2 linked regions of the Saccharomyces cerevisiae S288C genome follow. The main gene of each other region encodes a partner of the protein of the gene in region 2 in a complex. Each region holds a gene or a part of one and is shown on either strand. Other genes may lie near its edges. The genes, in order: NET1 and SIR2.

The links.
Region 1: SIR2 (region 2) and NET1 share a complex: the UniProt entries of both Saccharomyces cerevisiae proteins name them as parts of the RENT complex.

Annotation. Positions count from the first base shown.
Region 1 is NC_001142.9:293,542-299,525, reverse strand, and holds NET1 (Net1p), read right to left. Parts: upstream 4,282-5,984; coding exon 712-4,281; downstream 1-711. Other genes in the region: cohesin subunit SMC3, read left to right, coding at 1-369; APQ13 (Apq13p), read left to right, coding at 650-1,066; YJL077W-A (uncharacterized protein), read right to left, coding at 4,641-4,727; ICS3 (Ics3p), read left to right, coding at 4,465-4,860; YJL077W-B (uncharacterized protein), read right to left, coding at 5,381-5,479; PRY3 (Pry3p), read left to right, coding at 5,545-5,984. UniProt on the Saccharomyces cerevisiae protein: Has a role in chromosome maintenance and is involved in mitotic exit. Inhibits the action of CDC14 by sequestering it in the nucleolus. Also binds to RNA polymerase I and stimulates rRNA synthesis.
Region 2 is NC_001136.10:376,210-380,320, reverse strand, and holds SIR2 (NAD-dependent histone deacetylase SIR2), read left to right. Parts: upstream 1-1,875; coding exon 1,876-3,564; downstream 3,565-4,111. Other genes in the region: peptide alpha-N-acetyltransferase complex A subunit NAT1, read left to right, coding at 1-1,447; spliceosome assembly protein PRP11, read left to right, coding at 3,841-4,111. UniProt on the Saccharomyces cerevisiae protein: NAD-dependent deacetylase, which participates in a wide range of cellular events including chromosome silencing, chromosome segregation, DNA recombination and the determination of life span.

The sequences.
Region 1 (5,984 bases), on a different chromosome or scaffold from region 2:
ATTTCTGTTTCCTTCAATTCTAAACAAAACGAACAACTGCATGTTGAACAGCTCTCAGGTGGTCAGAAGACTGTATGTGCCATTGCTTTGATTCTGGCAATCCAAATGGTTGACCCTGCTTCCTTCTATCTGTTTGATGAAATTGATGCTGCACTCGACAAGCAGTATAGAACTGCAGTCGCTACACTTCTAAAAGAACTGTCAAAAAATGCCCAGTTTATTTGTACGACGTTCAGAACAGATATGTTGCAAGTTGCAGACAAATTTTTCCGTGTTAAGTACGAGAATAAGATTTCCACGGTTATTGAGGTCAATAGAGAAGAAGCAATCGGATTCATTAGAGGTAGCAATAAATTCGCTGAAGTCTAAGAGATATTTGAAACGATTTGTATATAAAAATATCAGTTTTGCTTACATAAATAGCTATTTGTATGTAATTATTACCATTGTCTCCTATATTGGAATTTTAAAAAATTTTCTTTTAAGATGATACTGTTACTAAACAATAATGTTAAATATAGTAACCAAGCTTTGATAATTCGACGTACAAAAAAGATTACTTTTCTTAAAGAAGTTGCCCGCTTGCTGGGAAAAGAGGTAAATAAGAATTGGTTTACATGAAGATTTTTTAATATATTAATACTTTTATATGCTTGATTATTTTTTTTTACTAGCTTTCTGTGACGTGTATTCTACTGAGACTTTCTGGTATCATTTTTTCTTGAAATCTTTTATTAATGATGCAAATCCACCACTTGGCTTCTTCTTCTTACCTAAAGCAGCACTAGCGGATTTCGCACTAATAAAACTTTTTCCATCATCAGATGAATCCCCTGAGTCATCAGAATCTGACTCAGATTTAGAATCTGAACTGGAATCCGATACGGAGTCCGAACTGGAGTTAGAGTCAGAATCAGAGCTAGATTCATCATCACTACTTGAAGGGGCTTTTGTTTGTGACTTCTCATTCGATTTAGAAGTTTTTTCCTTTACATCTGGGATGCCTCTTGAAACAAGATCAGATAATGAACTCAAAGAAGGACGAACTTTTCTTGGAAGGTCATGAAGTATACTAGACGGATTTGAGGTGGTCTTGGATTTAACTGACGGAGGAGACGACATGTCCATTAGCTGTGTAACTGGAATTTTATCAGGGGTGGCATTGATTTTTTTGTTAACAGATGGAGAGGGGGCTTCAATCTTAGATGAAGATCTAACTGGTTCTCTTGGTGTATTTACAACAACTCTTCTAGCCTTCCTGGATGTTGAAGTTTCCTCATCAGAAGACGAGGAAGATGAACTAGACTCGTCTTCTGTGGAAGAACCTGAGGAGCTAGAATCATCATCGTTTGCACTAGAATTATTTTTTTCATTAGAAATTATTCCAGGTGGCACGAGTGTTTTACTATTAGTAAATTTAGCCTTCAAATCCTTCAATTTATCATTTGCACTGGGCTTAGGAAGCTGAACATTGCCTTCTTTTAAGTGATCTGTCATTTTTAACTTTTTCTGAGATACCTGTTTGCTTTTGGAGTCTTCTTTTTCCTTCGAGTTATTTTTATCGTTAGCATCCTGTATATTGGCAGATGCTTTTTCTGGTTCCTTGGACCCCTCTGCTTTCTTGTTCAAGTCTTCACCTCCTATGTTTGCGCTTTTCAAATCTGCAACCCTAGAAGTTGTTTCCTTCTGCTGCCTATCAATCTGCGCAGACTCATTCTTGGCCTTCGTTTTAACATTTTTACGATTTCCTTCTTCATTGAAAGAGGTAGTTCCTTTAGTAGCAACAGAAGGAGACCCACCAACAACAGGAAAAGACGATGCTTGTGTTGCTGGCTTAGTTTCCACCTTTGTAGCTTCATTTTGCTTCTTGTTTGAATTCGGATAAAAGCTTTTCGCCATTTGTTCACTTATTTTGCTATTTGTTACTGAAGATTCACTCACGGCTGACTTTTTTTGACTATCTCTTTTGTCGTTTCTTTCTTCATCAACTTCTTTATTGATTATCTTTGAGTCTTTCACTGGAACAACACTGCCTTTCAAAGAATGTAAAGAAATGTCTTTGGGCCCATTATTAGGCACCGACATATTTTTCCTTTTAAAATCATCGTCTGATGAGAAATCTGTTTCAATCCCACTCTCTGACTCATCGTCTGTGGACGCTGCCGAACTAGAATCTTCAGTACTTTTCTGTGGGACTTCGTTTTTCTTGGCACCTGCCAATAATTGGGCAGCCCTCTTAGCCGCACTTCTTGGGGTTCGCTGGGGCAAAATATTTCTTGGATCTGGCTTAGAATTGTCTATGTCTTTATTCAAAACCGTTGTGTAAGGCTTTGAATTTTTGGAATTACCGGAAGTTCTCGAATTTTTGCCCTTAAACCATTGCGGTAGATCTGTATCATCACCTTCGATCATTTTGAAAAGATCTGACTTTGGGAAACTAGAGGAATCTGAATCTTGAGGAACAATACGAACCGTAGTATCAACTTCATCATTATCATTGCCATCGTCCTCAATGGTGCCGTTAATGATAGTGCCATCTTCCTTTGAAGCGTTGTTGTTTGAACTAACTTTCCCAGCTAGTGATTTCAACGTCCCATTAGACTTATCAGATGATGCAAGTATTGGCTGATCATTATGTGGAATTGTCGGCAAAATTTCCTTTTCTAAAAGTTTATCATTCGTATCTTCTTTTTCTCTTACCTGATTATCATCTAGGAAATTAGTCATTCTTTTCGGTTCCACAATACCGGAAGGTTCCGCCTGAGATTTCTTTTCCACTATAGTTTCCAGTGAACTCTTTCTTGGTGGTTGATGTTCTTGTTGCTTTCCCCAGGATTCGCCATTTGAAGATTTGGTGATCGAGGTATTGCTTGCCTTGGGAAGTTCTGCTAAATGCACATTGTGTGGCATGGCATCACCGAGAGGACTATTTTTCACCGGAGAGCCATTATTATCTGCGATGGAGCTTTGACTACGTTGCAAGGAAGCCTTTGAATGTGGTTCTGTTTCAGGAGTTTCTTGGTTTTCGCTACTTGAGCTATCGTCGGATTCGTAGTTCTCGCCATTTTCCAAGTAAGGTTTTTTCATTGGAATCTTTGCAGCTTTAGCGGGTAAAATGGAGGCCGGACTGGAAGGTCCCTCTTTTAACTCTTTTTCAATCTCTGAGATTCTTGGCTCGGGGATTTTCAACATTCCTGATGTTATTCTTGGAGTGGTTACGGGTGGTTTCCTATTAATGTCCTGAGCAGTGACAGCAGCTGTGCCACCATTAGCAAATGAAGAGGAAGAAGCTGAAGCAGAGAAAACCAATTCGTTTTTATGTGCGTGTTCAGAAACCACTCTCTGACCGGTAAGAGTAACTCTGTTTGGAGTCATGGTGGACATTATAGGAGTTCCGGACAATAGACGTTGCTGCTTTGTTTTATCTGGATCCACGGTTGCTGATCTGGACACGATATCTTCCTCGACGATGCTTGATTTTATTTTTTTACCTGCGTCAATGCCCGAACTAATTCTTATGGGAGGTGACTGAGGCTGCGTTGGAGGCGGCAAAAAGGATCTTTCACCAATGTCTTCGTCTTCGTCATCTGAGTTGTTGGAGACGATCTTCGAAGAAGGTGGAGGATAAATTTGCCTAGCCAATGGGGTAGAAACCCTCATGGATCCATTAGTGGCACTACGAATGGTTGTTGTTGTCGTGGTTCCTGTAGGTGGCCTCTTCTTGGCAATCCGAAGAACACCTGAAGAGGACGGGATTTGTTGTTGCGGCTGCACCGACTGGGGCGACCCGTTGTTCAACTTGGATCGTTTTACCGACTTATAAAGTGACACTGGTGCGGAATCGTCCAGATCTATCTCATTCTTCAATATAACTCTTACGATATTATTTACATTGAAAACGTCCTTTACCAAAAAATCCGGATCAAGGTCACAACCGCTGTTATCTTGCAAACTCAAAATTTCAATGTCTTCTTGCAAACTCGGGTACATTTTTTCACACTTATCGATGATTTCATCACTCAAGTTCAACAGCGTGTTTGTCGGCTTGGTAAACAAAAGAAACTTCCTAAACCTAGACTGGTTGAAATAGCTTGGCGTGAAACTCACATTGGCAGATCTCAGATTAGCATACTGCAAAGAGGCATCTCCGGCGCTTTGCGCCATATTAGTTCTGTTTGGCAACAATTGAGAAGATTCGGCGATGGTTGGTCCGTAGCCAAACTGTATTGGCATCGTCGCCTGAAGACTCGGAGGCACCAAGACCACTTGTAGCTTGTACATAGAAGGAGGCACGGTGTACAGTAATCGACTTCTCTCTGTTTCAGGCGAACCGAGACTAGGGATTCGATCAGCTCCGGCACTTATTTCATCGTGCTAGCTACTCTTCACTAGTTATTCAAATTGATTATTGACGCTTACCATGAAAAAGAAAAAAAGTTCAAAACATGTGGAACGGGTAACATAATGCACATATCGCTCCCTACGAGAAACAAATCTTATTTTCGAATACGTACACGTACATATCAAATAGGCTTATATCATTCTGACTCTTCACCAATCAGGGACATATCAGTACTACATCTGTTAATAGCAACGTTATGCACTATTTTTTTTCCAATTTTTTTTTCGTTGAGTAAAGTTCAGGTCGTACAGTGGCAAGGAACGACTATTTCTAAAAACTGTATTGCCTTAACCATGTCTTTCCCCTTGAACGCTATCCCTGGCATGTATCTGATAATTGCTTTCCCTCGTCTACAAACAGTAATTCCCCTGCAGCGAAATACTCCTGTTCGAATTACGAAATCGGTGATAGTGAAAGGCGCAGTGAGCGTGCCACGGATCTCCTCTCCGATGCACTAGGGTCCTGTTCCGTGCTCTGGTATCTCGATTAGGAAAGCGGAAGAAAAGAACGGAGGATACCTCTAATTAAGAGGGTCCGTTGTGTTGTGTTAAGCTCGGGTATAGGAAACTTGAAGAGAGGCGAAAAAAACCCAACGATGTGAGGAACGCGTCGCTATTGTTGGTAAGTTTGGCCGAAAAATTGTTTTTCTTCGCACATGGCTGGTTCTGCTGGAGGCGGCTGGGTGTTTATAGTTACCGCAATGCAGGTCGCTTCGTTTACTTTTCTCTGCGTGCTCGAGAACTGATAAATACTGGTTTAGGAAAACCGTCCACTTATGGATTTAACAAGGAGGTGAAAGGTAGGTACCATGGCAATATAGCTAGCAACGCTACGCACTAGCTGTGTGTGCTTGCTCTCTTGTGTTCGTCTTTCGTATATTGCGGGTTCCCGCGGTTAATTCAACAACAAATATGGTATCTAGGCAGGGACCCAGCAACGGAAGGATGTAATTGCTATATAGGGCCGATGAAACAGTTCTCATGTTTCAACTCGGTCGAAGAATTCTCTAAAACATATTCTATACTTCAAAGTTTTTAGCTTCTTGCTTTTCGGTAGTTGCCAAACCAATATCGGCATAAAATTATAATTGCTGCACCCCTGCAACTCCAAACAACTTAAAACAACTTAAAACGAAAACGCTTATGCTGGAGTTTCCAATATCAGTTCTGCTAGGATGCCTAGTAGCCGTCAAGGCACAAACCACGTTTCCAAACTTCGAGAGCGATGTGCTGAACGAGCATAACAAGTTCAGAGCGCTACATGTTGACACAGCGCCGCTCACCTGGTCCGACACTCTGGCCACCTATGCGCAGAACTACGCCGACCAATATGATTGTTCGGGTGTCTTAACGCATTCCGATGGCCCATATGGTGAGAACCTTGCCCTTGGTTACACAGACACGGGAGCGGTGGACGCCTGGTACGGGGAGATAAGCAAGTATAATTATTCAAATCCCGGATTTTCTGAATCCACGGGTCACTTCACACAGGTGGTTTGGAAGTCAACCGCCGAGATTGGATGTGGTTATAAATATTGTGGTACGACATGGAACAATTATATTGTGTGCTCCTACAACCCTCC
Region 2 (4,111 bases):
ATTAGATCCTACGCAGGATCCAATTCCTTTTATTTGGACCAATTATTACTTGTCTCAACATTTCCTTTTCCTTAAGGATTTTCCGAAAGCCCAAGAATATATTGATGCTGCCCTTGACCACACCCCAACTTTAGTTGAGTTTTACATCCTCAAGGCACGTATCCTGAAGCACTTAGGCCTAATGGACACAGCGGCTGGAATTTTGGAGGAAGGTAGGCAACTTGATTTGCAGGATAGATTTATCAACTGTAAAACGGTTAAGTACTTTTTAAGGGCTAACAATATCGACAAGGCGGTGGAAGTCGCGTCCCTTTTCACCAAAAACGATGATTCTGTTAATGGTATTAAGGACTTACACCTTGTGGAAGCTTCTTGGTTCATCGTAGAACAGGCAGAAGCCTATTATAGACTATACCTGGATAGAAAAAAGAAATTAGACGATTTAGCATCGCTAAAAAAAGAGGTTGAAAGTGATAAAAGCGAACAAATTGCGAATGATATCAAAGAAAACCAATGGCTTGTTCGCAAATATAAAGGTTTGGCGCTGAAAAGATTCAACGCTATTCCAAAGTTTTATAAACAATTCGAAGATGACCAGTTGGATTTCCATTCATACTGTATGAGAAAAGGTACGCCAAGAGCCTATCTGGAGATGTTAGAATGGGGAAAGGCACTTTATACCAAACCCATGTATGTTCGCGCAATGAAGGAAGCATCAAAGCTTTACTTTCAAATGCATGATGATCGCTTAAAAAGAAAGTCCGATTCTTTAGATGAAAATTCAGATGAAATCCAAAATAATGGCCAAAATAGTAGCAGCCAAAAGAAAAAAGCTAAGAAGGAAGCAGCCGCTATGAACAAACGGAAAGAAACTGAAGCCAAGAGTGTTGCTGCTTATCCGAGTGATCAAGATAACGATGTATTCGGCGAAAAGTTGATTGAAACCTCCACTCCAATGGAGGACTTCGCTACCGAATTTTATAATAACTACTCCATGCAAGTCAGAGAAGACGAAAGGGATTATATTTTGGACTTTGAATTTAACTACAGAATTGGAAAGTTAGCTTTGTGCTTTGCTTCTCTAAACAAATTCGCTAAGAGATTTGGCACCACGAGCGGTTTATTTGGTAGTATGGCCATTGTTTTGTTACATGCCACAAGAAACGACACCCCCTTTGATCCAATTTTGAAGAAAGTAGTCACGAAGAGCCTTGAAAAAGAGTATTCTGAAAATTTCCCATTAAACGAAATATCTAACAATAGCTTCGATTGGCTGAATTTCTACCAAGAAAAATTCGGTAAGAATGATATAAATGGCCTGCTATTTCTGTATCGCTATCGCGATGATGTTCCGATCGGAAGCTCTAATTTGAAAGAAATGATTATTAGCAGTCTTTCTCCCTTGGAGCCTCACTCCCAGAACGAAATTCTACAGTATTACTTGTAGCCTGCAACTCCTCAATGTGTCAATTAACTCTTACTTAATTTATGTATATATTTTTTATGTATATGCTTATATGCATGCGCATATGCTCATAAAAGATACATTGTTATAGGTCATTTCTTTTCCAAGCTACATCTAGCACTCCTTCCAACCATGGTCCAGGACAGCCAGGACCTTTTCTTGCCAAAATTCTTGCTTTCCCATCTCAGAGAAAAAACGAGGAATTTTTCTTTGTCCTCTTTGGCCGCCAGTTGCGGTAAAATATTTTTTTTCTAGGTCGCATAGTTTGAAAGACTTGTCTTTTTCACCACCCAAGAAAAATATATTTAGTGAAGAGATGTAAAGCCCATTCTCACGTATTTCAAGAAATTAGGCATCGCTTCGGTAGACACATTCAAACCATTTTTCCCTCATCGGCACATTAAAGCTGGATGACCATCCCACATATGAAATACGCCGTATCAAAGACTAGCGAAAATAAGGTTTCAAATACAGTAAGCCCCACACAAGATAAAGACGCGATCAGAAAACAACCCGATGACATTATAAATAATGATGAACCTTCACATAAGAAGATAAAAGTAGCACAGCCGGATTCCTTGAGGGAAACCAACACAACAGATCCACTTGGGCACACTAAAGCTGCGCTCGGAGAAGTGGCATCGATGGAGCTCAAACCAACTAATGACATGGATCCCTTGGCAGTGTCAGCAGCTTCAGTAGTGTCAATGTCCAATGACGTTTTGAAACCAGAGACGCCCAAGGGGCCAATCATAATCAGTAAAAACCCATCAAATGGTATTTTCTATGGTCCCTCCTTCACTAAACGAGAGTCTCTCAATGCTCGAATGTTTCTGAAATACTATGGTGCACACAAATTTTTAGACACTTACCTCCCCGAGGATTTGAACTCGTTATACATTTACTATCTTATCAAGTTGCTAGGCTTTGAAGTTAAAGATCAAGCGCTTATCGGCACCATCAACAGTATTGTCCATATCAACTCGCAAGAGCGTGTTCAAGATTTGGGAAGTGCAATATCTGTCACAAATGTTGAAGACCCATTGGCAAAAAAGCAAACAGTTCGTCTAATCAAAGATTTGCAAAGAGCAATTAACAAAGTTCTATGTACAAGATTAAGATTATCCAATTTTTTCACTATTGATCATTTTATTCAAAAATTACATACCGCTAGAAAAATTTTGGTCCTGACTGGTGCAGGTGTTTCAACTTCATTAGGGATCCCGGACTTCAGATCTTCTGAGGGGTTCTATTCAAAGATCAAACATTTGGGGCTCGATGATCCCCAAGACGTTTTCAATTACAATATATTTATGCACGACCCCTCTGTTTTCTATAATATTGCCAATATGGTTTTACCTCCAGAAAAAATTTATTCTCCATTGCATAGTTTCATTAAGATGCTACAAATGAAAGGGAAATTATTGAGAAATTATACTCAAAACATTGATAATTTGGAATCTTATGCGGGAATAAGCACAGATAAACTGGTGCAGTGCCATGGCTCTTTTGCTACTGCCACCTGCGTTACCTGCCATTGGAACCTACCCGGTGAGAGGATATTTAATAAAATTAGAAACCTCGAACTTCCACTATGCCCGTACTGTTACAAAAAAAGAAGAGAATATTTCCCAGAGGGATATAATAATAAAGTAGGTGTTGCTGCATCACAGGGTTCAATGTCGGAAAGGCCTCCATATATCCTTAACTCATATGGCGTTCTCAAACCAGATATCACATTCTTTGGCGAAGCACTGCCAAATAAATTTCATAAGAGCATTCGCGAAGATATCTTAGAATGTGATTTGTTGATTTGCATTGGGACAAGTTTAAAAGTAGCGCCAGTGTCTGAAATCGTAAACATGGTTCCTTCCCACGTTCCCCAAGTCCTGATTAATCGTGATCCCGTCAAGCACGCAGAATTTGATTTATCTCTTTTGGGGTACTGTGATGACATTGCAGCTATGGTAGCCCAAAAATGTGGCTGGACGATTCCGCATAAGAAATGGAACGATTTGAAGAACAAGAACTTTAAATGCCAAGAGAAGGATAAGGGCGTGTATGTCGTTACATCAGATGAACATCCCAAAACCCTCTAAGTAGAAGGCAATTTAATAATTTAAAAGTGCCAAATTAATATCAATTTACATAGTATGGCAAACAATTTTGTTTTCCTTTCAATTATTGTAGTCAAATATTATTTACATTCTGCTATTTTCATTGTACCGGGTGAAATATTACATGTACCGCCCATCTCACTAAAAAAATGAAAAAAAAAAATCTGCTAAAGACGCAAGGCTCTCACAAATAGCTTAATGTAAGAAGGGCAGGTGGAACAGCAAATTCAAATCATTTAACGCATCCATACATTCAAAATGAACTATTTAGAAGGCGTTGGGTCAAAGAAAGGAGGTGGTGGTATAGCCTCAGAATCTCAGTTTAACTTACAACGAAGGAAAGAAGTCGAATCATTACTTAGTAAAGGCGAAAATGTCCCGTACACTTTCCAAGATGAAAAGGACGATCAAGTAAGGTCCAATCCGTACATTTACAAGAATCATTCCGGTAAACTGGTTTGTAAACTATGTAATACAATGCACATGTCGTGGTCCAGCGTTGAAAGGCATTTGGGTGGTAAAAAACATG